4 linked regions of the Arabidopsis thaliana genome follow. The protein of the gene in region 1 purifies or fractionates together with the protein of each later gene. This does not show direct contact. Each region holds a gene or a part of one and is shown in the gene's direction. Other genes may lie near its edges. The genes, in order: AT1G62870, GYRA, MOR1 and AT3G28155.

What was found.
Region 2: the proteins of AT1G62870 (region 1) and GYRA fractionate together in Arabidopsis thaliana (co-fractionation; one large-scale study listed by BioGRID). This does not show direct contact.
Region 3: the proteins of AT1G62870 (region 1) and MOR1 fractionate together in Arabidopsis thaliana (co-fractionation; one large-scale study listed by BioGRID). This does not show direct contact.
Region 4: the proteins of AT1G62870 (region 1) and AT3G28155 fractionate together in Arabidopsis thaliana (co-fractionation; one large-scale study listed by BioGRID). This does not show direct contact.

The regions. Positions count from the first base shown.
Region 1 is NC_003070.9:23,283,403-23,288,514, reverse strand, and holds AT1G62870 (uncharacterized protein), read left to right. Parts: upstream 1-1,717; 5' UTR 1,718-2,006; coding exon 2,007-4,295; 3' UTR 4,296-4,603; downstream 4,604-5,112.
Region 2 is NC_003074.8:3,340,333-3,348,367, reverse strand, and holds the start of GYRA (DNA GYRASE A), read left to right. Parts: upstream 1-2,007; 5' UTR 2,008-2,124; coding exon 2,125-2,549; intron 2,550-2,643; coding exon 2,644-2,713; intron 2,714-2,811; coding exon 2,812-2,877; intron 2,878-2,991; coding exon 2,992-3,093; intron 3,094-3,281; coding exon 3,282-3,326; intron 3,327-3,402; coding exon 3,403-3,501; intron 3,502-3,640; coding exon 3,641-3,727; intron 3,728-3,860; coding exon 3,861-3,931; intron 3,932-4,419; coding exon 4,420-4,528; intron 4,529-4,633; coding exon 4,634-4,696; intron 4,697-4,845; coding exon 4,846-4,911; intron 4,912-5,006; coding exon 5,007-5,095; intron 5,096-5,296; coding exon 5,297-5,345; intron 5,346-5,498; coding exon 5,499-5,585; intron 5,586-5,686; coding exon 5,687-5,780; intron 5,781-6,165; coding exon 6,166-6,236; intron 6,237-6,321; coding exon 6,322-6,411; intron 6,412-6,801; coding exon 6,802-6,927; intron 6,928-7,013; coding exon 7,014-7,171; intron 7,172-7,269; and 8 more. Other genes in the region: GalAK (galacturonic acid kinase), read left to right, coding at 360-511, 674-714, 807-835, 930-999, 1,108-1,197, 1,332-1,579. UniProt on the Arabidopsis thaliana protein: A type II topoisomerase that negatively supercoils closed circular double-stranded DNA in an ATP-dependent manner.
Region 3 is NC_003071.7:14,964,837-14,969,594, forward strand, and holds the start of MOR1 (ARM repeat superfamily protein), read left to right. Parts: upstream 1-1,737; 5' UTR 1,738-1,991; coding exon 1,992-2,154; intron 2,155-2,349; coding exon 2,350-2,455; intron 2,456-2,546; coding exon 2,547-2,670; exon of another isoform or gene 2,671-2,974; coding exon of another isoform or gene 2,975-3,037; intron 3,038-3,403; coding exon 3,404-3,483; intron 3,484-3,570; coding exon 3,571-3,748; intron 3,749-4,044; coding exon 4,045-4,109; intron 4,110-4,395; coding exon 4,396-4,478; intron 4,479-4,572; coding exon 4,573-4,658; intron 4,659-4,758. UniProt on the Arabidopsis thaliana protein: Microtubule-binding protein that is essential for cortical microtubules organization and function. Essential for maintaining the interphase cortical array and for correct morphogenesis.
Region 4 is NC_003074.8:10,484,241-10,487,694, reverse strand, and holds AT3G28155 (uncharacterized protein), read left to right. Parts: upstream 1-1,703; coding exon 1,704-1,733; intron 1,734-1,826; coding exon 1,827-1,910; intron 1,911-2,013; coding exon 2,014-2,080; intron 2,081-2,190; coding exon 2,191-2,265; intron 2,266-2,341; coding exon 2,342-2,394; 3' UTR 2,395-2,420; intron 2,421-2,499; 3' UTR 2,500-2,556; intron 2,557-2,659; 3' UTR 2,660-2,758; intron 2,759-2,762; exon of another isoform or gene 2,763-2,859; 3' UTR 2,860-2,914; downstream 2,915-3,454.

The DNA.
Region 1 (5,112 bases):
GTAATCTAAGTAAATAACTTAACAAAAAATGGTATAAGTAAAAAGAACAACTAAAGAAAAACATGAGATGAGTGTTGTAACAACCATAAGACTCATGAATACCACACAAGACAGTTAAGAAAAGAGAGTATATGTCGTTGTAAAAAAGGGATAGGGTAAAAGTCAACTATTTCAGTAGAAAAAGTAAGAAATTTAAAGAGAATTTACTAAAATATCAAAATAACACATCTACGACAAACAATGCAATTCCATAATGCTAATAGATTAAACAACTCAGATTAAACATATGTAGTGTCCAAAACAAACATTACGGAAAAAAACGTTGGTTTATTATGTTATATTTATCCATTTTTGTTGTCAACAACATTTGTCAATTATATTAAAGAAAAAAATGTTCACGAATTCTAAAAATTACAAAAATTGTCACTATTTGTCACTGATACAAAAACTCAGGATGACAATCAGGAAATTTTGTTTTCATTCTTACAAGAAATATGATAATAGTGGTTTGAAACATATTGATTTTTGTATTGAATTTTTTTTTATCAGGAATAAAATACTAGCAATAATATTACTCGTAGTAAACTTTCAAAAAAAAATTATAATTTTTCTTGAGAAAAAATAGTTTATTTTCCAGTTAATAGTTTTTTCAAAAAAAATGAAAGTAGAGTTTCTATTATACTATGTAACATGCATTATACTACTTCAAGTAGAAACAAATTGTAATGGTGAGTAAATGTCTTTATTACTGAACCAATTATATTCAAAAATATTTTTTTTGTCACAGTCAATAAATATATTTTTTACTGGATTCTGAAAATAATAAATAAGTATTTACTAAAGAATGTCCTTTTGGTCAACAACTCTCTCTCACACACACAGAGAGACACAGTCCCTAAAGAAACAAATTAAATTCCTAGGTTGCCCTTTTATGCCCACATTCTGAATATATCCCACATAGACAACAAGACACAAATGGAAACCCCACTCATCATTTTTTTGTATTTTTCCTTCTTTTACAATCATAATTATACCCAAAAAAAAAGTAAAAACATTAAATTAATAAAAAACATGTCTTTCACTCACTCATTTACTAACACTTTCACACAATTATCTACTTTTAAAAGAATCATTTAATGATTTAGTACTAAATTTGTGAGCTGCTTTGCTTATGTCATTGAATGATTTACCCTGTTAATAGTATTTATATTGGTGGGTTAGTTCATAACACGAATCATATACCAAATTTGATTACGTGGAATAGTTGATACTATACAATAGTAGATCAATATTTTATAATCATATAAATTAGAAAAAGAGGAAACAGACGAAGACCTCTTCCACACAAGAACCCAACAATTCACTCAAAAAAAACAGAAAAATATGAAAACAAGACACATCCAAAAATATTTTTTTAAAAAAAACTGAAAAAGTGATATTTATTTTTATTAAAAAGGTATAAAACCAATAATATATAGTATTAAAAATACCTTTATGGAGAGCGTGAGAATCACGTGCCAATGAGAGTGAAGTGAGAGACTAAAACAACCAATGCTTTGTTTCCGTTCTCGTACGACGTGGGACTCTGGTCTCACCTTGTTCCTATCAAACGTTTCATTCAATGTTACAAACACGCGCTTACCTTATGCGCGTGAGATTCACTTTTGTCTCCCTTATTTTCTTCTCCTTCCTCTCTCTGTCTCTCTCTACTGTCTCTTTCTTTCTTCTTCTTCTCCTTTTTGAAATTTCTCAGTCTCTTAAAAAATAGAATCGAAAGAAACTATCAGTGTGATAGCAGAGCAGAGAGGAACAAAGTTTTTTTTTTTTTTCAGAGGTGAAGCAAAAACAGAGACAAAGTTTATTTATTTCTATTTCTGTTCTCTGTTATGAGGAACCGCCGGAGTTATCTCCGACCGCCGGCGAAATTTTCTCTTCAATTTCATCAAAATCCACTAGTCTCAGCTTAATTTCGTTCAGGGTTGTTGTTTAAGTTTTTTGACTTTACAATGGCGACGACGACAAACGCAACAACAACGGCGACACAACAGCAAACGCAAACGCAATCACCAACGCAACAACCGTCGGCGGAAGAATTAGCGACAAAGGCGTTACAAAAGCGTTACGAAGGATTAATGATGGTAAGAACAAAAGCAGTTAAAGGCAAAGGCGCGTGGTATTGGAGTCACCTTGAACCAATCTTACTACACAACACCGACACTGGTTTCCCTAAAGCCGTTAAACTCCGATGTTCTTTATGCGACGCCGTTTTCTCAGCTTCTAATCCTTCCCGAACTGCTTCTGAGCATCTTAAACGTGGAACTTGTCCAAATTTCAACTCTTTACCTAAACCCATCTCCACAATCTCTCCTTCTCCTCCTCCTCCTCCGTCTTCTTCTCACCGGAAACGTAATTCCTCCGCCGTGGAAGCTCTGAATCATCATCATCATCATCCTCATCATCATCATCAAGGGTCTTATAATGTGACGCCTCTTAGTGTCGTTGATCCCTCGAGATTCTGTGGGCAGTTTCCGGTTACACAGCAGCCGCATTTGATGCTTTCCGGTGGAAAAGACGATTTGGGTCCATTAGCTATGCTTGAAGATAGTGTGAAGAAGCTCAAGAGTCCTAAAACTTCTCAGACGCGGAATCTAACTAAAGCTCAGATAGATTCTGCGTTAGATTCTCTCTCTGATTGGGTTTTTGAATCTTGTGGCTCTGTTTCTTTATCTGGTCTCGAGCATCCAAAGTTGAGAGCTTTTTTGACGCAAGTTGGTTTACCGATCATCTCAAGGAGAGATTTTGTCACCGGAAGATTGGATTTGAAGTATGAAGATTCGAGAGCAGAGGCTGAATCGAGAATCCACGACGCAATGTTCTTTCAGATTGCTTCTGATGGATGGAAATTCGACAGCTCCGGCGAGAATTTGGTGAATTTGATTGTGAATTTGCCTAATGGGACGAGTTTGTATAGACGAGCTGTGTTTGTGAACGGAGCTGTGCCGTCTAATTACGCAGAGGAGGTTTTGTGGGAGACGGTGAGGGGTATTTGTGGTAATTCACCTCAGAGGTGTGTTGGGATTGTTTCAGATAGGTTTATGAGTAAGGCATTGAGGAATCTTGAGAGCCAGCATCAATGGATGGTGAATCTCTCTTGTCAGTTTCAAGGTTTCAACAGTTTGATTCGAGATTTTGTAAAAGAGCTTCCTTTGTTTAAATCCGTCTCTCAAAGCTGCTCGAGGCTCGTTAATTTCGTGAACAGCACGGCACAGATCCGAAACGCGGTTTGTAAGTATCAGTTGCAAGAGCAAGGAGAGACTAGGATGCTGCATTTGCCTTTGGATAGTTCTTTGTTTGAGCCATTGTATAATCTCCTTGAGGATGTGCTTAGTTTCGCTAGAGCGATTCAGCTGGTGATGCATGATGATGTGTGTAAGGCTGTTCTAATGGAGGATCATATGGCTAGAGAGGTTGGTGAAATGGTTGGAGATGTCGGGTTTTGGAACGAGGTAGAGGCGGTTTATTTGTTGTTGAAGCTTGTTAAAGAAATGGCTCGGAGAATAGAGGAAGAGAGGCCTTTGGTAGGGCAATGTTTACCGCTATGGGATGAGCTAAGGTCCAAGATAAAAGATTGGTATGCAAAGTTCAATGTTGTTGAAGAGAGGCAAGTAGAGAAGATCGTTGAGAGAAGATTCAAGAAGAGTTATCACCCAGCTTGGGCTGCGGCGTTTATACTTGATCCGCTTTACTTGATAAAAGACAGTAGCGGAAAATATCTTCCTCCATTCAAATGCTTGTCCCCGGAGCAAGAGAAAGATGTTGATAAGTTAATAACAAGGCTTGTGTCTAGAGACGAGGCACATATCGCGATGATGGAGCTGATGAAATGGAGAACAGAAGGGCTTGATCCGGTTTACGCAAGGGCGGTTCAAATGAAGGAGAGAGATCCTGTTTCGGGGAAAATGAGGATAGCTAATCCACAAAGTAGTAGACTTGTTTGGGAAACTTATCTTAGTGAGTTCAGGTCATTGGGGAGAGTTGCAGTTAGGCTTATTTTTCTCCATGCAACTTCTTGTGGTTTCAAATGCAATTCCTCTGTTTTGAGATGGGTAAATTCGAATGGAAGATCACGCGCAGCCGTGGATCGAGCTCAAAAGTTGATCTTTATATCCGCTAACTCGAAATTCGAAAGGAGAGACTTCTCCAACGAGGAAGAGAGAGATGCGGAGCTGCTCGCTATGGCGAATGGCGAAGATGATGTGCTAAACGATGTTCTCATCGATACATCCTCAGTGTGACTTGTTAATTTTTACCAAATTTAGTTTTTCACTAGAACTTGGCCATTTTGTAGGATTGCTTGAATTCATTTTTTTTGTTGTTAACTTTTTTTTTTACTACCCTTAATTCAATTTGTACTTGGCTCCTTTAGGAGGTGAGAAAGAGAGCCATATCATTGTATTTCTTTTAGTCTATTTTGATCATAATTTTAGGCAATTTTTCCGTGTCTTTTTTCGAACTTAAGCAATGATCTTGAGACTGATTTTGAAATTCTTGCATACAAGCGACTCTTGTAAAGTTCTTGTCTATATCATATTACCATTAGAAGTTTCATGTTTCTGCACACATTTGGTTTGCGTAGCAATGAAATCTAATGTGAATCGACCTCTCGTCGTGATCATCATCAATCTATTGGTTCAAAAGGTCCAAGGTTGTAGTTAAGAACATTAATGGCATCAACAGAAGATTCAACGACAGCTTCATTCATCTTCTGTATTGTACATTGTAATGATCTCTTTTGTTCTGTTGTTCTTTTGTTCTTTTTTCATTAACGTTAATATTCTTAATCATGACTCAAAACAATGTCTTTTCCATTTCAAGAAATTGACTTAATAAAACATTTTATTTTTGAACATTTTTCACGTTCTTGCTTCATCATAACATGTTAGTCTCTATTGATGTCGACGACGAAAGATGTAGACCTTTTTGTCACCTAAGAACTGAACCGGGTTTTCGGGTTCACTTCAACTATGATTACGATTATCTATCTATCTAACTTATCAATCTATCGAGTAGTTTCTTTAAAATCTTTTCTCAAAAAATGTGGATCCCCCACTA
Region 2 (8,035 bases), on another chromosome or scaffold:
TAAAATTCCTTGATTTGTAAGTGATATAGTGTGCAAAAAAGCAAGAAGCTTGTTCATGTGGCAAAACCAAGACTGTTCAATGGGATGCCTAAGATGTTTTTGATCTCTAAACTGAAAATGACTCACGATCAAATCAGATCTACAACATTCTCATTGCTTTCACGAGAAAATAAGTGTTTAATCTTTTCAATTGCTTCGATTTTAATGTATTTCAATGCTGAGTTCACTTCTTCCTAAAATGAAAATGAATGGTTAGAATCAGGAGGCCTTGAAGAAATCCTTCCTAACCAGCCATAGATAGGGAAACTTTATTTTCTTCCAGAAACTGCCATCTCAGAAAAACTGTTTGAAATATGCAGACTTTGGACCACGAGCTTGTACAGGCTCCTGAACTGGAGAAACCGTTCAGGATATTGTTAGCATTCTCAGGCTTGAGGCAGGCGTTGACCACCAACCCAGGATATAATCTGCGAGTTTCTGAGTGTCAAGAGGCAGCAAAAGTTCTTTTGACGTATGTGCAAATCTGTTTGATTCATATTTATCTACATTTTCGCTTATTTAGATTTAAATTTCAGTGGAAATGCTGCAAAGTTTATTTCTCTATTGCTTGTGATACTCATTTTTCTGCATCACAAGATTCACACCCTTCTCTTGATTTACTTTTTCTTTTCAGTGCATCTGGGAACAGTGAGCTGGAACCTACGTTGTGCAATGGTAAAAAAACTTTAAGTGTGGACTTTAACTTATTCGTTGCATGCTGATTAGTTTTTCTTTGTTGCCATGTCTCTAACTGTCCCACTGAATAGTTGAGCATGCGGTCTATGAAGCTCACAAGGTAAGAAAATAAGATTCTTAAGCTTTTGGTAAAACAGGTTCCACCTATATCAGGCCTATGTAAATATGTAATACAATAATACTTGTTCGTGCAGCATGAGCTGAAACCGGTTTTAGCTAAAAGAGCAGAGCATTATTTCTCGGAGAACATGCGAGTTATCAAAGGCAAATGTTCTTGAATTCTTGTAGATGTCTCTTTATGTGCATGAATGATTCATTAAGCTCTTTATGATGCTTAACGGACTTTTATGAATGTTTGTTCTTAAATTTCAGGACGGGAAGCCTGGGCTTCAGGGAATCTTGAAGAATTTGGAAAGCTAATTTCAGCATCCGGCTTGAGTTCCATTGAGAATTACGAATGCGGTACATTACACTCTCTTTTCTTCTCTCCCAAATGCAACATATCCTATAGTGAATACAGACCACTAGTATGCTTACAGACATTATTCTCTCTTAGATTCATTATTTTGGTTTTAAATTCTGTGAGTTTTGTGAAGGTGCGGAGCCACTGATCCAGCTATACAAGATTCTTCTGAAGGCTCCTGGTGTATATGGAGCTAGATTCAGCGGTGCAGGTTTCAGGGGATGTTGTCTAGCCTTTGTAGATGCAGAAAAAGCTGAGGCAGCTGCTTCATATGTGAAGGATGAATATGAAAAGGCCCAACCCGAGTTTGCTAACAATCTAAATGGAGGAAAACCTGTTCTCATCTGTGAAGCAGGTGACGCTGCTCGTGTTCTTCTCTGATCAATCCTGGAGTTTTTGGTTTCTTCCCCACTTAAACTCGATTTTTTTGTCCCTTATATCTCTCACGCTTATTGATTCTTTGCTTGTTTATCTCTTTTTGATCCTGTCTGAGAAATTCTCTGGTCTCTTTGGTCGGAGTTTCATCATTGCTTGATACATTTTTTTTGCTACAAATACATAATGTAAATCATTCTCTACCGTTTTCGAGTCGATAGAAGAATCGCAAACTTCAAAAATGTGACTAACATTTCTCCATAAATTTGTTAAATTTTCAACAATTGGTGAATTTAGTTCTGTAATTGATCTAACAAAGACACTATACAAGTATGAAATTAGAAATTGAAATCGAAAGTTAGTTATTATAATCTTGTTTGTATAAAATAGTGTATATCTCAAATAGAGATACAGATTAGTTTTTTGTTTGGACACAAAGACCCCCGCCAAAGTATTGAAATTCGCGCCTGAGAAATTCTCCGGTGTGGCTCTCTAGGGTTTTAGCACTTTAATCCATTTGTACTTGTAAAAATCCCTAAAACCCTCTGGGCATGACTCCAGTATTATGCCATTCCACTGCTTCAATCCCTAACCCTAACTCTCTCATGTCTCTCTCCTCCACTCTCCGTCTCTCTTCCTCCCTTCTTCGCCGCTCCTTCTTCCGATTCCCCCTCACCGACCCATTATGCCGTCTCCGCCGCACTGAACCCTCCGCCACGCGTTTCTTCTCCTCCCGTACTCCTCGGTCCGGCAAATTCGTTGTCGGTGCTGGTAAGCGCGGAGATGAGCAGGTCAAGGAAGAGTCCGGAGCTAACAATGGCGGTTTGGTTGTTTCTGGGGACGAATCTCGTATTGTGCCTTTTGAGCTACATAAGGAAGCTACTGAGTCGTATATGTCGTATGCGCTCTCTGTTTTGCTTGGACGTGCTTTGCCTGATGTTAGAGACGGACTAAAACCAGTACATCGGAGAATTCTGTTGAGTGACTTTCGTTCGGCTCAAAGCTACTGATATTTTTAAGCTTAGTCAGTGGTATTGTTCCTTCTAATGTTCGATTATTTTGTCTTCCAGCTTTGCAATGCATGAGTTGGGGATGTCATCTAAAAAACCATACAAGAAATGTGCAAGAGTTGTTGGAGAGGTATATTATTGATTTTTGGAAAGTGTTTTCTCAGTCGATTTCTCTAAATATCTTATTCTGAAGAACGATTTGTGCTGTTGAATTCTTTGGGTTTTCAGGTTCTTGGTAAATTCCATCCGCATGGAGATACTGCTGTTTATGATTCTCTTGTTAGGATGGCTCAGGTAAATATCTGAATTCATGGAATGTAGTCCAGTCCTCAAATAATGTTTCAGGCACGATTCGATTCTTCCCAAACTTCTGACTTTTTTGTTTTAATACCTTTGTTTTTTTGGCAGAGTTTCTCCTTGAGATGTCCACTTATCCAAGGCCATGGAAATTTTGGCTCAATAGATGCAGATCCTCCTGCTGCTATGCGTTACACTGAATGCAGACTCGATGTGAGTGCCTTTTACCTTACTTTCCCTTCTAGTTGAAATGGTTTTCCCTGCAATTCACTTTTTCTAGTTGTTTCACTTGTCTTTGCTATCTATAGTGTATCTCTCATCTCTACTTTTTCTCTTGTCTTGAGATGAACATGTATTTTTGTCAGTGTTTTCAGCTGATTGTACTTATTTTTTTTCTGCAGCCACTGGCAGAGGCAGTACTATTGTCTGATCTGGATCAAGATACGGTAACCTCACTATTAATTTGTTGCCAAGTTTACCGATACTCAACTAGATGGTCCTTAACCTCTTTTGTTTTGGCAGGTGGATTTTGTGGCCAATTTTGATAACTCACAAAAAGAACCAGCAGTGTTGCCTGCTCGTCTTCCTGCTTTGTTGTTGAATGGAGCTTCTGGGATTGCGGTAAAATAATCAAACAAATCTTAAATCTGAACTCCTTAATAGATTTTGTTCGAGATTTCTTCAGTTAATCTTGTGCAGATTTTCCCTGCTGTATGAGATTGAATATGCAGTTGAATCTTGATCATTTCACATTGTTTAGGTTGGCATGGCAACAAATATTCCCCCTCATAATCTTGGGGAGTTGGTAGACGTGCTTTGCGCTTTAATCCATAATCCAGAAGCAACGGTATCACTCATCTCCCCTTTGTTTTTCTGTGATTTATCAATTTGTGGGTCTTTTGTTTTACATGAAAAATCCTCTGTTTTATAAGTAGACAACTCATAAGATTTTGTTTCCACTTTCTTCTTCGTCTGGGCAGCTGCAAGAACTGCTGGAATACATGCCTGCACCGGATTTTCCAACTGGAGGAATAATAATGGGAAACCTTGGGTAACTCTTTGCTTTCCAATTTCTCCCCAAAGGGATCTTATACATTAATGACTTTTGTTTGCCCACCTCGTTTGCTAATTTTTTGAGAGTAGGCTATCTATAGGATCAAATAGAAAGACTCACTTCTAAAGTGTGAAACTTTTTTTTTATGGAAATAGAAAAGCATTTTGTTTTGTTTTGATCTATGATTCTAACAGATTACAGAAGCTGTACCTATATCTTAAAAGGAACCTAGAAAATGAGTGAAGAGGATGGTCCAGTTAATAGTTTTCCTTTATTTGTCTGTCATATGCAGTTTTTGAATCATCATGTTTTTTTCTGATGGTGTGAGTGATTTTTTAATATTCTGAAAGCTTATATGTTGTGTAGTACATTTACTCTCGAGTTTGTTGAATACCTTTATTAAAAAAATAGTTTGCATTCATATGCCATTTCCTTTTACAATGTTGGATTCTTATAATTTTCTAATGTGTGTTTGCGCTTTCAAGGGTTTTGGATGCTTACCGAACTGGCCGAGGGCGAGTTGTAGTTAGAGGAAAAGCTGAAGTTGAATTGTTGGATCCAAAGACAAAGCGGAATGCAGTTATTATCACAGAGGTGATCAATTTAGTTTTTTAGATTAATGTTCAGATCTCCATGGATGAGGGTTTCAAAAATGTTTATTAGCAGTAGAGTAATGCCTTTAGTGTGACTTTATTGCAGATTCCTTACCAGACAAACAAAGCTACACTTGTCCAGAAGATTGCCGAACTTGTTGAAAATAAGGTACAACTAAACTTGCGACATCTAATGTTTATTTTGCTTCACTTAGCAATATGTACTTATTTTACTCAGAGGTGTGTTACATTTCTAGTATGTCCTTATATGCTTGCAAAGTTTCTTCTTTATTCATTGATGTTGGTGTTTGTTTTCAGACGCTAGAGGGCATAAGTGACATACGTGACGAGAGTGATCGTAATGGGATGCGTGTGGTTATTGAGGTATTACACTGTTTCCTCTGCACTTAGATGTATTAGTCTGCTTTAAAATTTCATATTGGAAGGTAATTAAGATAATTTCCAATACTTCTCTATAGCTCAAAAGAGGAGGGGATCCTGCACTTGTGCTTAATAATCTTTACCGGCATACTGCCCTTCAATCAAGCTTCAGCTGCAACATGGTGGGGTGAGTTGCATCAACCGATAACTTCTTATTTCCTGTACTTTTTTGAAGAGTGGGCATATAAAAGAACTTGGGCATTTTCCAGGATGACTAGTTGAAAATTCTCTAATGAGTATGTTATGCTTGTAAATATATTAAGGATCATGTATTCACATATGCGTTTTTCTTTATCGTAACTGGATTATGGTATTCTGTGTTTTACAGTATCTGCGATGGAGAACCCAAGCTAATGGGATTAAAAGAACTACTTCAGGTGACCACTTGTCTATGTAAATCATTTATCTACGTAGCCCACAAGGAGTAATAGAAAAGTGAAGATCAGAGATAGGATATTTACTTCTGTGCTACTGTAATCACATTTTAAAGTAAATTTGTTGATTACTTTCTGTTTCTTGCTTGTGTGTAGGCATTTATAGATTTCAGGTGTTCTGTCGTCGAAAGGCGTGCAAGATTCAAGCTTTCACATGCACAACAACGAAAGCATATTATTGAGGTGCGACTAGAAATATTTAACTTTCTTAAATCTGCTCGTGAAGACCATGATGTAATGATGTAAAGCATTTTTTCTAATATCTTCACTGTATATATGCTTAGGGTATTGTGGTTGGGCTTGACAATGTGGACGAAGTAATCGAACTCATCACGAAGGCCTCAAGTCATTCCTCTGCTACTGCTGCTTTACAAAGTGGTGAGCTATATTTTACTTTGACAATATAATCAATGTAACAATCTTGAACTGCACATTATAGGTTGATGTATAAACAGAATTCGGAAAAGTGAGCGAGAATTAGGAGTCAAAAAGTAGACTAGAGCCAATTTTTCTTAGGTGGACTGATAGATGTAGTCTAGGATGTACACTATTAAAAGAATACATCTTGTGGTGAACTCTTCCATATTACATTTGAACATTATATATTTCTTGTCTTTTTATCTGGAACTGCTGGAGTCTCATTCGTTGTAAGATTTGATCTTAATTGCAAAGATTTCTTAGGGATTTATGCTTTGTAAGTCTCTATTGTAAGGGACGATACCATATATTAAAATTAACACTTGTCAAACATTTACTTATGTAGAATATGGTCTTTCTGAGAAACAAGCTGAGGCTATACTGGAGATAACTCTTCGAAGGCTAACTGCTCTTGAGGTGCTTTCTTATTCTCGCTAAGTTCAATTTATGAAACTTGTAGGCTTGACAATGTTCTAACTAGATTCTCCCTTCATAAATGCAGCGGAAAAAGTTTACTGATGAAAGTAGTTCACTAACAGAGCAAATTACAAAGTTGGAGCAGCTATTATCAACCCGAACAAACATCCTAAAGGTGACACACTCACTTTTTAGTTATCTGTTCTTTTGGCTATTGATATTAGAAATTTAGAACACCTAGATGCTAGTAGAATGATAGATGCATCAATATATGTACTCCAAATTTGTAAGCTTGACTGTTTGAGTCCACTGAGGTTCAAAATCTAGTCCATGCATTATGATGTGGTATAAGGATTCAAATGCTTCTTCCATTTCTTGTTTGGTACTTATTTTTATATCTGTAAAGCTGCTTACTATATGTTGCTGTTCTGGGCCAATGTTAGGAAGATAACTGATACATGATGATTTTCTTGTAGACCAAAATTGAACTATTTGCTTCGTTTACTTCATTGTATATTACTTACTACTTTATTCTCTTCGTTGTTTTTCTTGTATTTTTCTTTAGTTAATCGAACAAGAAGCAATAGAGCTGAAGGACAGATTCTCAAGTCCCAGGCGTTCAATGTTGGAGGATTCTGACAGTGGTGATCTAGAAGATATAGATGTTATTCCAAATGAAGAGATGCTGATGGTATGTTGCATACTTAAACCTAGAAAGTTTCTCAACGTTGAAATTTTTGTTGTTTGTTTTGTAACTTTTGATATGGATGACTATAGGCAGTCAGCGAAAAGGGCTATGTGAAGAGAATGAAGGCCGATACATTCAATCTTCAGCATCGTGGAACAATTGGCAAATCTGTTGGGAAACTAAGAGTTGATGATGCAATGTCTGACTTTCTTGTTTGTCATGCACATGACCATGTCCTCTTTTTCAGGTATGTATACCTCAAAATTTCCTTTGTGTTTGCTACGCACATGGATATTAATTTTCTGCCTTGTTGTAATTCATTGCTTATACTTGTTGTACATTCAGTGACCGGGGTATAGTTTACTCAACCCGTGCATATAAAATTCCAGAATGCTCTCGCAATGCAGCTGGTACACCTTTGGTTCAGGTAATTACATATCTGTGTATCTATGTTTTCCTTCTGCTATGTCAAAAATTATTCAATTTTATGAAAGGCTAATGTTTTGCTGTGTTCATGTGACTTGTGGAAGCAGATATTATCCATGTCGGAAGGTGAAAGAGTAACCTCCATTGTTCCTGTTAGCGAGTTTGCTGAAGATCGCTACCTCCTGATGCTTACAGTGAATGGCTGCATCAAGAAAGTATCTTTGAAATTATTTTCAGGAATACGCTCAACTGGAATCATAGCAATTCAGTTGGTTTGTCCCCTTTTTCTTCTTAGTCATATAGGAAGTCTTCTTAACAAGGTTACTCTAACAAAATTATTTGTCTTCAGAATTCTGGTGATGAACTGAAATGGGTTCGTTGTTGCTCAAGCGACGATCTTGTAGCCATGGCATCCCAAAATGGAATGGTCGCCTTGAGTACATGTGATGGTGTAAGTTGTGGCTCTCATTTTTTCTAAATGATTCATCTTTCATGTAAACCTTTTAATACTTGAGCAAACTCTGATGGCTTTTGTTTGTTTAGGTTCGCACACTGAGCAGAAATACAAAGGGAGTGACTGCCATGAGACTCAAGAATGAGGATAAGATAGCGAGCATGGACATCATACCTGCATCTCTGCGGAAAGATATGGAAGAGAAGTCGGAAGATGCTTCACTTGTGTATG
Region 3 (4,758 bases), on another chromosome or scaffold:
TCTATCAAGCCTCGATCTTCCAATAATCAGACAACCAAATCCTCAATTACAAATCAAGCGTTCCACAACATCGATGCACAACATTTGCATGGTCTCATTAACAATTACAGCACCCAGAACAGTGAGATTATCTAATCGGATCAAATCCACCTCCCAAATTTGCAAAATCAGAAATCGAACCTTCAGAATAAAACCCCAACTCATTATTTAAAGAGGAGCTCGGATAGCTAAAATCGAACTTAAATCACGAAATTCGGAGGACATCATTGCAATCACAGCACAAGAAGAACTGAAGAGTCAACAAAACCATTCAATAATCTAAAAAAACGAAATCGATTCGCCGATAACTCAGACCAAAATCTCACTTCCCCCAAAAAAATGGCGAAAGAGAATGGGAATTTACACGAACCTCAAAATGGATCCGCGAGGAGGAAGATGAAGATGAAGAATAAGACAGAGGAAGAAGACGCAATTGAGCTGTAAAGCAATGTCTTAACTAACAACTTTTTTTTTTTTGTTGTTGTTGTGATTTATGAGAGAGTGAAGAGAGAGAAAGTAGAGTGTGCAGTGGAAATGTGAGATACTTTGGAGAAGGAATCGGCTAGTTACGAGTTTACGACCAATGAGAGAGGAGAAGTGGAGACCACACGTGCCGATCATGACTTATTACACGTGTCGACCGACGCATTGTATAATGCCAGAACTGGACAAGGGCTTGTTGGGTCAGTTAAAACATCGTTATTGCGTGGGCCTACTAAAGCCCATTGTTATTTATTTGGAAGCGTACTGTACTTTACTATCTTTAGGGACAATTCTTGTATTTTCAGCTTTAGCGGATCTTATTCACCTAAATCAAACAAACAAGTGTACTTAAAAATGGAACAAACAATGGACTGATAATCATTATTTCATTTGCTTTTATAATAGAAATCAAAATATTAATATTGGATTCAATCTTTCCACGTAACTTCTTGTTTTGGTAATTTCATCTATGATTCTTATAAATTTGGTACCATTGTAAAAATATGGCTTAAATTTGAGTTGTTGTTTCATGTGTTAGCAGTAGACAAGAAAAGATATCTGGAGATAGAGAGTTACATCACCTAAGACATGAGGATGGAGATGGAAAAGGTGTAAGGTGTGGTGTGGCTTAAATATTCTTGTACTAATTATCAATCAAAGTTTGTTTGAAATTTGAGTATTTGTATTCTGAATTTGAATTAGATATTTCAAATATATTAAAATCCAAAGCGAAATCAGATCCTAGCATAAATATTTAGGATATTAAAATAATAAATTTTAACTAGTTTTTAAATCATAAAATACACAATGTTTTTGAACTTCCATAATCAAACTAATAAATCCATTTTGGTTTACGTGTCTAGTTTTATAGAAAATGACTATTTATTTGTATTTTATAGAAGAAAAGATAATCCAATAAGTAAGTAATAATAACTCATGATTTTGTTGATTTTTTAAAATAAATATTTTTATAACTAAAAATGAGTTATTCATTTCAAAATATTACTTTATTTTCTTAGAAATTAATAGATTGTTAATGTAAATATATTTTGAAAATATTTACAGAACCAACAATAGGAAAATTCAGTACTGTTAATCATTTCCTAAAATAGTTTGAAAATGCCGATCTCTCCACGTGGAGAAAGCAAAAGAAAAACGCTCGTTTTAAGATTTGAAATAATCGCGCGTGTAAACATTTCCAATCAAAACGCGCGTGAAGGGTTTTTAACAAAAAAATTACACCACCGATTTAAACGTAGAAACCAAAATTCCCCCACTCTCTCTCTCTCATTACGCTCCACCCTACTCTTCTTTTTTGTCCTTCTCTCTCTCTCTCTTGCCGGCACTAACAACACGAAGAAATTTTTTTGAAAAGAGAGAGAAAGTTTCCAAGAGACCGTACGAAGAAAAAAAAAACTTGGTATAGATCGATAAGATCGATACCGTCGGAGAGATAATTTCGTGGAGTAATGTCGACGGAGGATGAGAAGTTATTGAAGGAGGCGAAAAAACTTCCTTGGGAGGATCGGCTTGGGCATAAGAATTGGAAAGTTAGGAACGAAGCTAACGTCGATTTAGCTTCTGTTTTTGATTCGATTACTGATCCTAAGGACCCTCGTCTTCGCGATTTTGGTGAGTTTCTCTACCTCGTTTTTTTATTATTATTATGTTAGGGTTTTTGTTTTTGAAGCTCAGATCTGATTAGGGTGGTTTATATCGGTGTGGATCTGTTTTGAATTTGGATTGTTGAGTGGGAATGTGATTGGTCTAGGGTTCCATTTTGCTTTACTTTTGATTGAATTTCTGATTATTATTTTTTATTCGCAGGTCACTTGTTTAGGAAGACGGTGGCAGATTCTAATGCGCCGGTGCAAGAGAAAGCGCTTGATGCATTGATTGCGTTTTTGCGAGCAGCCGATTCAGATGCTGGAAGGTATGGTGTTGTTTATTTTTATTGCTTTAGAAATGGGCAGAGTGGAGTGTTCGTTTGCATGTGAATAATTAGTTTGTTTCTGCTTTTGAAGGTATGCAAAGGAAGTTTGCGATGCTATTGCGCTCAAATGCCTTACGGGTCGGAAGAATACTGTGGACAAGGCGCAGGCTGCTTTCTTGCTTTGGGTAGAATTAGAGGCCGTCGATGTTTTTCTGGTATGTCATTCATTCTATGTTTTTGCAACACTGCTAGGGTTATCTAGACACATACGGTTAACCCTTGCACTCTGATGTATAGGTTCACCATCTAGCCATAGAGTTACTTGCTAGATTGCTGATACTGGTATCTGAAACTAGATAGGTGAGCTGACATAGAAATGAAAGTGCTTTATAACCCAGAATTCAACCATATACTGATCTTAGAAGGAGTGACGTAGAATATAGCATTGTGGCTCTTTGTCCAGTTCTGTGTTATGCTAGGTATCTAGTGTGGCATAGGAAAAGAGCAATTTAAATAACGATGACTGACAGATGTCCTGAGCATCCTGTGTTCAAGGTCAAGAAACAGAATCAACTTTCTGGGGTCTGTTCCTATAATCACCCTCTTCAGTAACCAACATTTCCAGTTTTGAGTTGTTGTCACCGTGTCTCAAGCTGTTGGACTTCTGCTATGAATAATACTTATTTCTGAAGGAGAAAGGAATCTAGATACCTTCTTTATTGTTGTTTTCAAGATATCTACCATAGTGTTTTGTTCAAAACATCATTTCCTTCAGAAGTTTTAATTCACTTCCCAAGTATAAAGTTGCAATAACTCTACTTGATATGCATTGTTTCAGTCATTTCAATTTTCAACTGCCAACAAGATATATATTGGGAGACTGGGAGTTGTATAGTTTATAGGATAACATCGTTTTTATACATGCTAACAGATTTGGCATGATTGTAGGATACGATGGAGAAAGCTATAAAGAATAAAGTTGCAAAGGCTGTGGTACCTGCAGTAGACGTTATGTTTCAAGCTCTAAGGTCTGTTTTCAACTCCTTGTTAGTTTTCTCCATTGGTTCATGAAATCTTTTATCTGAAATATCGACGCTACTTTATTTCTACCTTAGTGAATTTGGATCAAAAGTTATTCCACCTAAAAGGATTTTAAAGATGCTTCCTGAACTTTTCGACCATCAAGATCAGAATGTCCGTGCATCTGCCAAAGGAGTGACTCTTGAGCTATGCCGTTGGATTGGAAAAGACCCTGTAAAGTCTATATTGTTTGAAAAAATGAGGGATACGATGGTAAGATTTATGTTGAGCCGCACATTTGCAACTTAGCTATGCTGCCAAGTTGATATGAACTGGATTAAATCCTCTTGATTTTTCTTGGAATTGGAAAACTGAAACAGGGGTTTCTAGTCATAACAGATAGATAGATGATAGATCCCATTGCGGATAAGAACCACACCTTACCTGTAAATTCTGCCCATGATTTGCGTTTTTCTTTAATCAGTGGAAGAAGTTACACTTGAATTTTTATTTATTCTCTTGTGCTTTGTTGCAAACCCTAATATTCCGTTTCATTGTTACTATGTAAGAAAAAAGAGCTGGAGGCTGAGCTTGCCAATGTTACAGCGGGTGCCAAGCCTACTCGAAAGATAAGGTTACTACCACATACGATAATAATTGTTTAATTTTCCTAATTATTCATTGGCACATACATCTAATATATTTTGACATTTATTGGTAAGGTAAAACCAGATCCAGTTTCACCGTAATTCAGCCTATGCTTTGTGAATACTCAATGTGCCTCTGTCAAATTTCTGAATAATTGAATTGATATGCATGAGTATTTCTTTTTGGTTTCAAGACCTTTTTCTAGCCTGTGTGAATTTTAAAGTTGAAAAAGTAAAGCTGCAATGAGATTATTTCTGTATTTGGCTTTCAAGATCTGAGCAAGACAAGGAACCAGAGGCAGAAGCTAGTTCTGATGTTGTGGGTGATGGGCCCAGTGAAGAAGCTGTTGCTGACGGTAAGTAGCTTGTACCTCAATGAATTGTTCTTCATCAAGTAATAATGAGAAGTCTGCTTACATTGTTTTTTCTTTTATCTACCCGTACTATCAGCGCCTCAAGAAATAGATGAGTATGATCTTATGGATCCTGTGGACATTTTGACACCTTTGGAGAAGTCTGGGTTCTGGGACGGAGTGGTGAGTTTTGATGCTTAATGCACATTTTACTATGTTTTATTTCTTGTGGTTGTCTTTCACTGAAAGAACTTTTTTATACTATACCACTTACTTCTCATGT
Region 4 (3,454 bases), on another chromosome or scaffold:
TGCATCCACACATACATACATTCATACATACTACATACTTGCTTCGCTTGCACATTCATAATTTCTCTGAAACGTCTCTCGGTGATAAGTGACAACAAGAAGCACGTGAGAGAATGTACCTTGGCTGCTAATTTTTGTCGTGGGGCTGTGCATCTTGACAACATGCCACTGAATTATAGTATTTTTTATTCTGTTACTGCATTTGATATCCATGCTATGTTCCATGTTGCATTGTATTCATATCAAAGCCTCATTAGCACATGCCACTGAAGCTCTTTTTTAGCACATTCATGCATAATGCATGATGCATCCACACATACATACATTCATACATACTACATACTTGCTTCGCTTGCACATTCATAATTTCTCTGAAACGTCTCTCGGTGATAAGTGACAACAAGAAGCACGTGAGAGAATGTACCTTGGCTGCTAATTTTTGTCGTGGGGCTGTGCATCTTGACAACATGCCACTGAAGCTCTTTTTTAGCTCTTTTTTTTTGTTAATTATTACTGAGTTTGATGATTTTGCATTATATTATATTGCCGTGCATCAACTTTGACTTTGAAAGAAGAGATAGAAGTTCTAGAAGAACTAGACAAGTCAGAGGAAATCTTGGTCGGTTGTTGTGTGCAGGTGCAGCTCCAGGTTAAAATGAGAAAAAATGTGAGGTATGCTTGTTACTCCATTTAAAATCTTCTTATATGTAATTATCGAATTATTCCCTGAGAATATTACTTGGAAAAGCAGGTTCTGCAAATCATCACTCATATCTTCAACTGCGGCAAAAGAAATGTGTCATACTTTGCATTACAGGTTAGTAATAGAAGAAGAAAAAGTAACTTTTAGAAACTGAATGCTGTATTTAGACGTCAGTTTTATCTTTTTCTTACAAAATTCTTTCTTGGCTCAGTTTCAGATATAAAGATATGAGCCTCTACAATGAAGTGGCCTACTTCTTTTTGTGAAGCAGCTGATCGAAAGGGTTTGTGCTGGTTCGGTAAATTTTCTATCGACTTTCATTTTAATCTGATCACAATGATGATTCATGACTTTTGTTTGTAGCTTTGCAGAATCATGAAAGAGCACAACAATCCCAAGGTTCATAGTGAAGGCTTATTCTGGATTGTTTCGGCAGTTGATGACTTTGGTGTCTCACTTTTGAAACTTACGAATTCCTTTTAAGCTACTTCTGCTTTGCCTAACATGTGTTTGTTTGGTTCATTTTTGTGGATGGTCTTTTAGATTTCTTGTTTTTACTTGTCTGTTGTTCATCAGGGGACTGCGGCACCGAAGAGAGTTAGATAGACGTCGGTAAAAAGGCTTTGAGATTCCTGATTTTGAAATCTTTTTTTGTTGCTAACAATTCTTTTGTGAAAAAATTATTCTAAGCTGTAGAGTTGAAACTGAGTGTTTTAAATTTTTGTAGATACGTTTGGATCCAATTGAAGCTGTAATAAAATTCTGGAAGGGGCTAATAAACGTATCCAACCAAATGGAACTGGTATGAACTCAGGAATTTTTCTATAATTCTCTGTTATTTAAGTTTTTTTTTTCATTACATAATTAGTCATGAATCCTTATAATTGTTATATGTACCGTTCGTATCATGTTCAGTAGTAGAATTATTCGGTGGTCCACGGGGACAACTTTTAGTCTTGTGATGCAAACATTGACTACCATTGGAGGTGTTGCAGCAGCCATGGGACCAGCTGTCAAGAAGGCGAGCAAGGTTAGGGATACATGTCAAGCGTTGAAAATACTTTTACATTGTAAAATATCAATGCCTGCCATTTTTACCAAATACTTGAATGATCTAGTTTAGGGAATTTTGTCTGATGTTCTGAAATGCCTCACTAACAACATAAAGCACATGAGAGAATTTACCTTGGCTGTTGTTGATAAAATGGTTGGTGAACTTCTTTAAACAAGTCTTTTGTATCCTGTTAATGCAGATTCTAATACCACTAAAAGTGGTTTTTATAGATCTTTTTGATTGCTTGACAAAACAGGTTGCTGGATTAAGTGACTTTGTGGATGCTACACATTTACTGAAACCTGCAAGTAACCGCAGTGATGGTGAGTCTGTGACTGATCTAAAATATTTATACCGCCTCATTATCTTGAATCACTAAATAAGTCTGTTTGTAATAATTATTACTCTGTTATGTTTCTACTGATATTTCCAGGACCAACCAGAAGATCTGCGAAAAATAGTGGAAGGATGCCTTTCCGAGATCTGGAGAGTCAGTGGACAAGACACGGTAGGTATCCTTGGGTTAGCTTGTTCTATTCGTGGCTTGAACCTAATATCGGATTAGTCGTATGCATTTTTCTCAGATGGAAATGAATATCAAAGATATAAAAGGCTCATCACTAGCTCTTGTGCTTGAAAAAGCAAGACCAGGATTTGTTCAAGGTACCTCTCCAATCTTCATGATCTGGTTGTCTGATTAACATGTTCTCTCCTCTCTACTAACGACTTGAATCATCAAAAGCTTCGGCGGGGCCAGTATCAAAAGGTGTTTCAAATATTCCATAATCTACTTCTAGTGGTACCTTGAAGCAAGATCAGTTAGTTTCATCCGTCTCTTCACATATTTTCTTTTGTATTCAATTTGTAAGTTAAAAAAAAAATATTGGCATTCCTTATTGCAGAGCTACAACACTTAAGGGGCAAGATATCAAATTAAGTATGGAATCGTATTCTCGAAGACTTGGGAGAGCCAAACAGTTTCTTAGATACTTCATATTAAGGTAAGTTGTTCCTCATGTTTCTTTTACATAAAGGGTCAAATAATTTTCTCTGTTTTTTAGTCTCTTATTTGATATTTCTCTTGCTTCATGCATGTGTACAGGTCTTTTGGTTACCAAAGTCGTCAAGGCAAATCCCGTAGTCCAGAACAAATGAAGAGGCAGGTAAAATCTCCATGTCTCTCTTCTCAAGACAAAAATACTCGCACCAAATACACAAACACGACAGATAAAAAAACTTCACAATCACAAATACACAACAAAAAATAATCAAACAAAACTAAAACTCTACACTCAAACTATAAAACTTCACATGCCACGAAACACAACAAAACAAATCGACAAAAACTCCACACTTCAAACAAAAACTTCACATGCCACGAAACACAACAAAAAAAATCGACAAACACAATCACCTGAAACAAGAGTTCTCATGGATATAATCGACAAAAACGAACAAATACTTTCTCTCTAATTTACTATAATTTAATGTCAATAACAATTCATAGAAATTGTTCCCCGATATGAGGGAATAGAAAATATAGGAAGAGGAGAAAGAAAGCTAAAAAAACTTTCCCTCGCATGAGTTTCGAGATTCTATTTCTAGTTACTACTTTTTGAAAAACCAGATTTAAACCAAACCTTTTTACTAAAAACAGAAATTCTCACCCACTTTTGTTTACCCAAAATAGAAGTTCT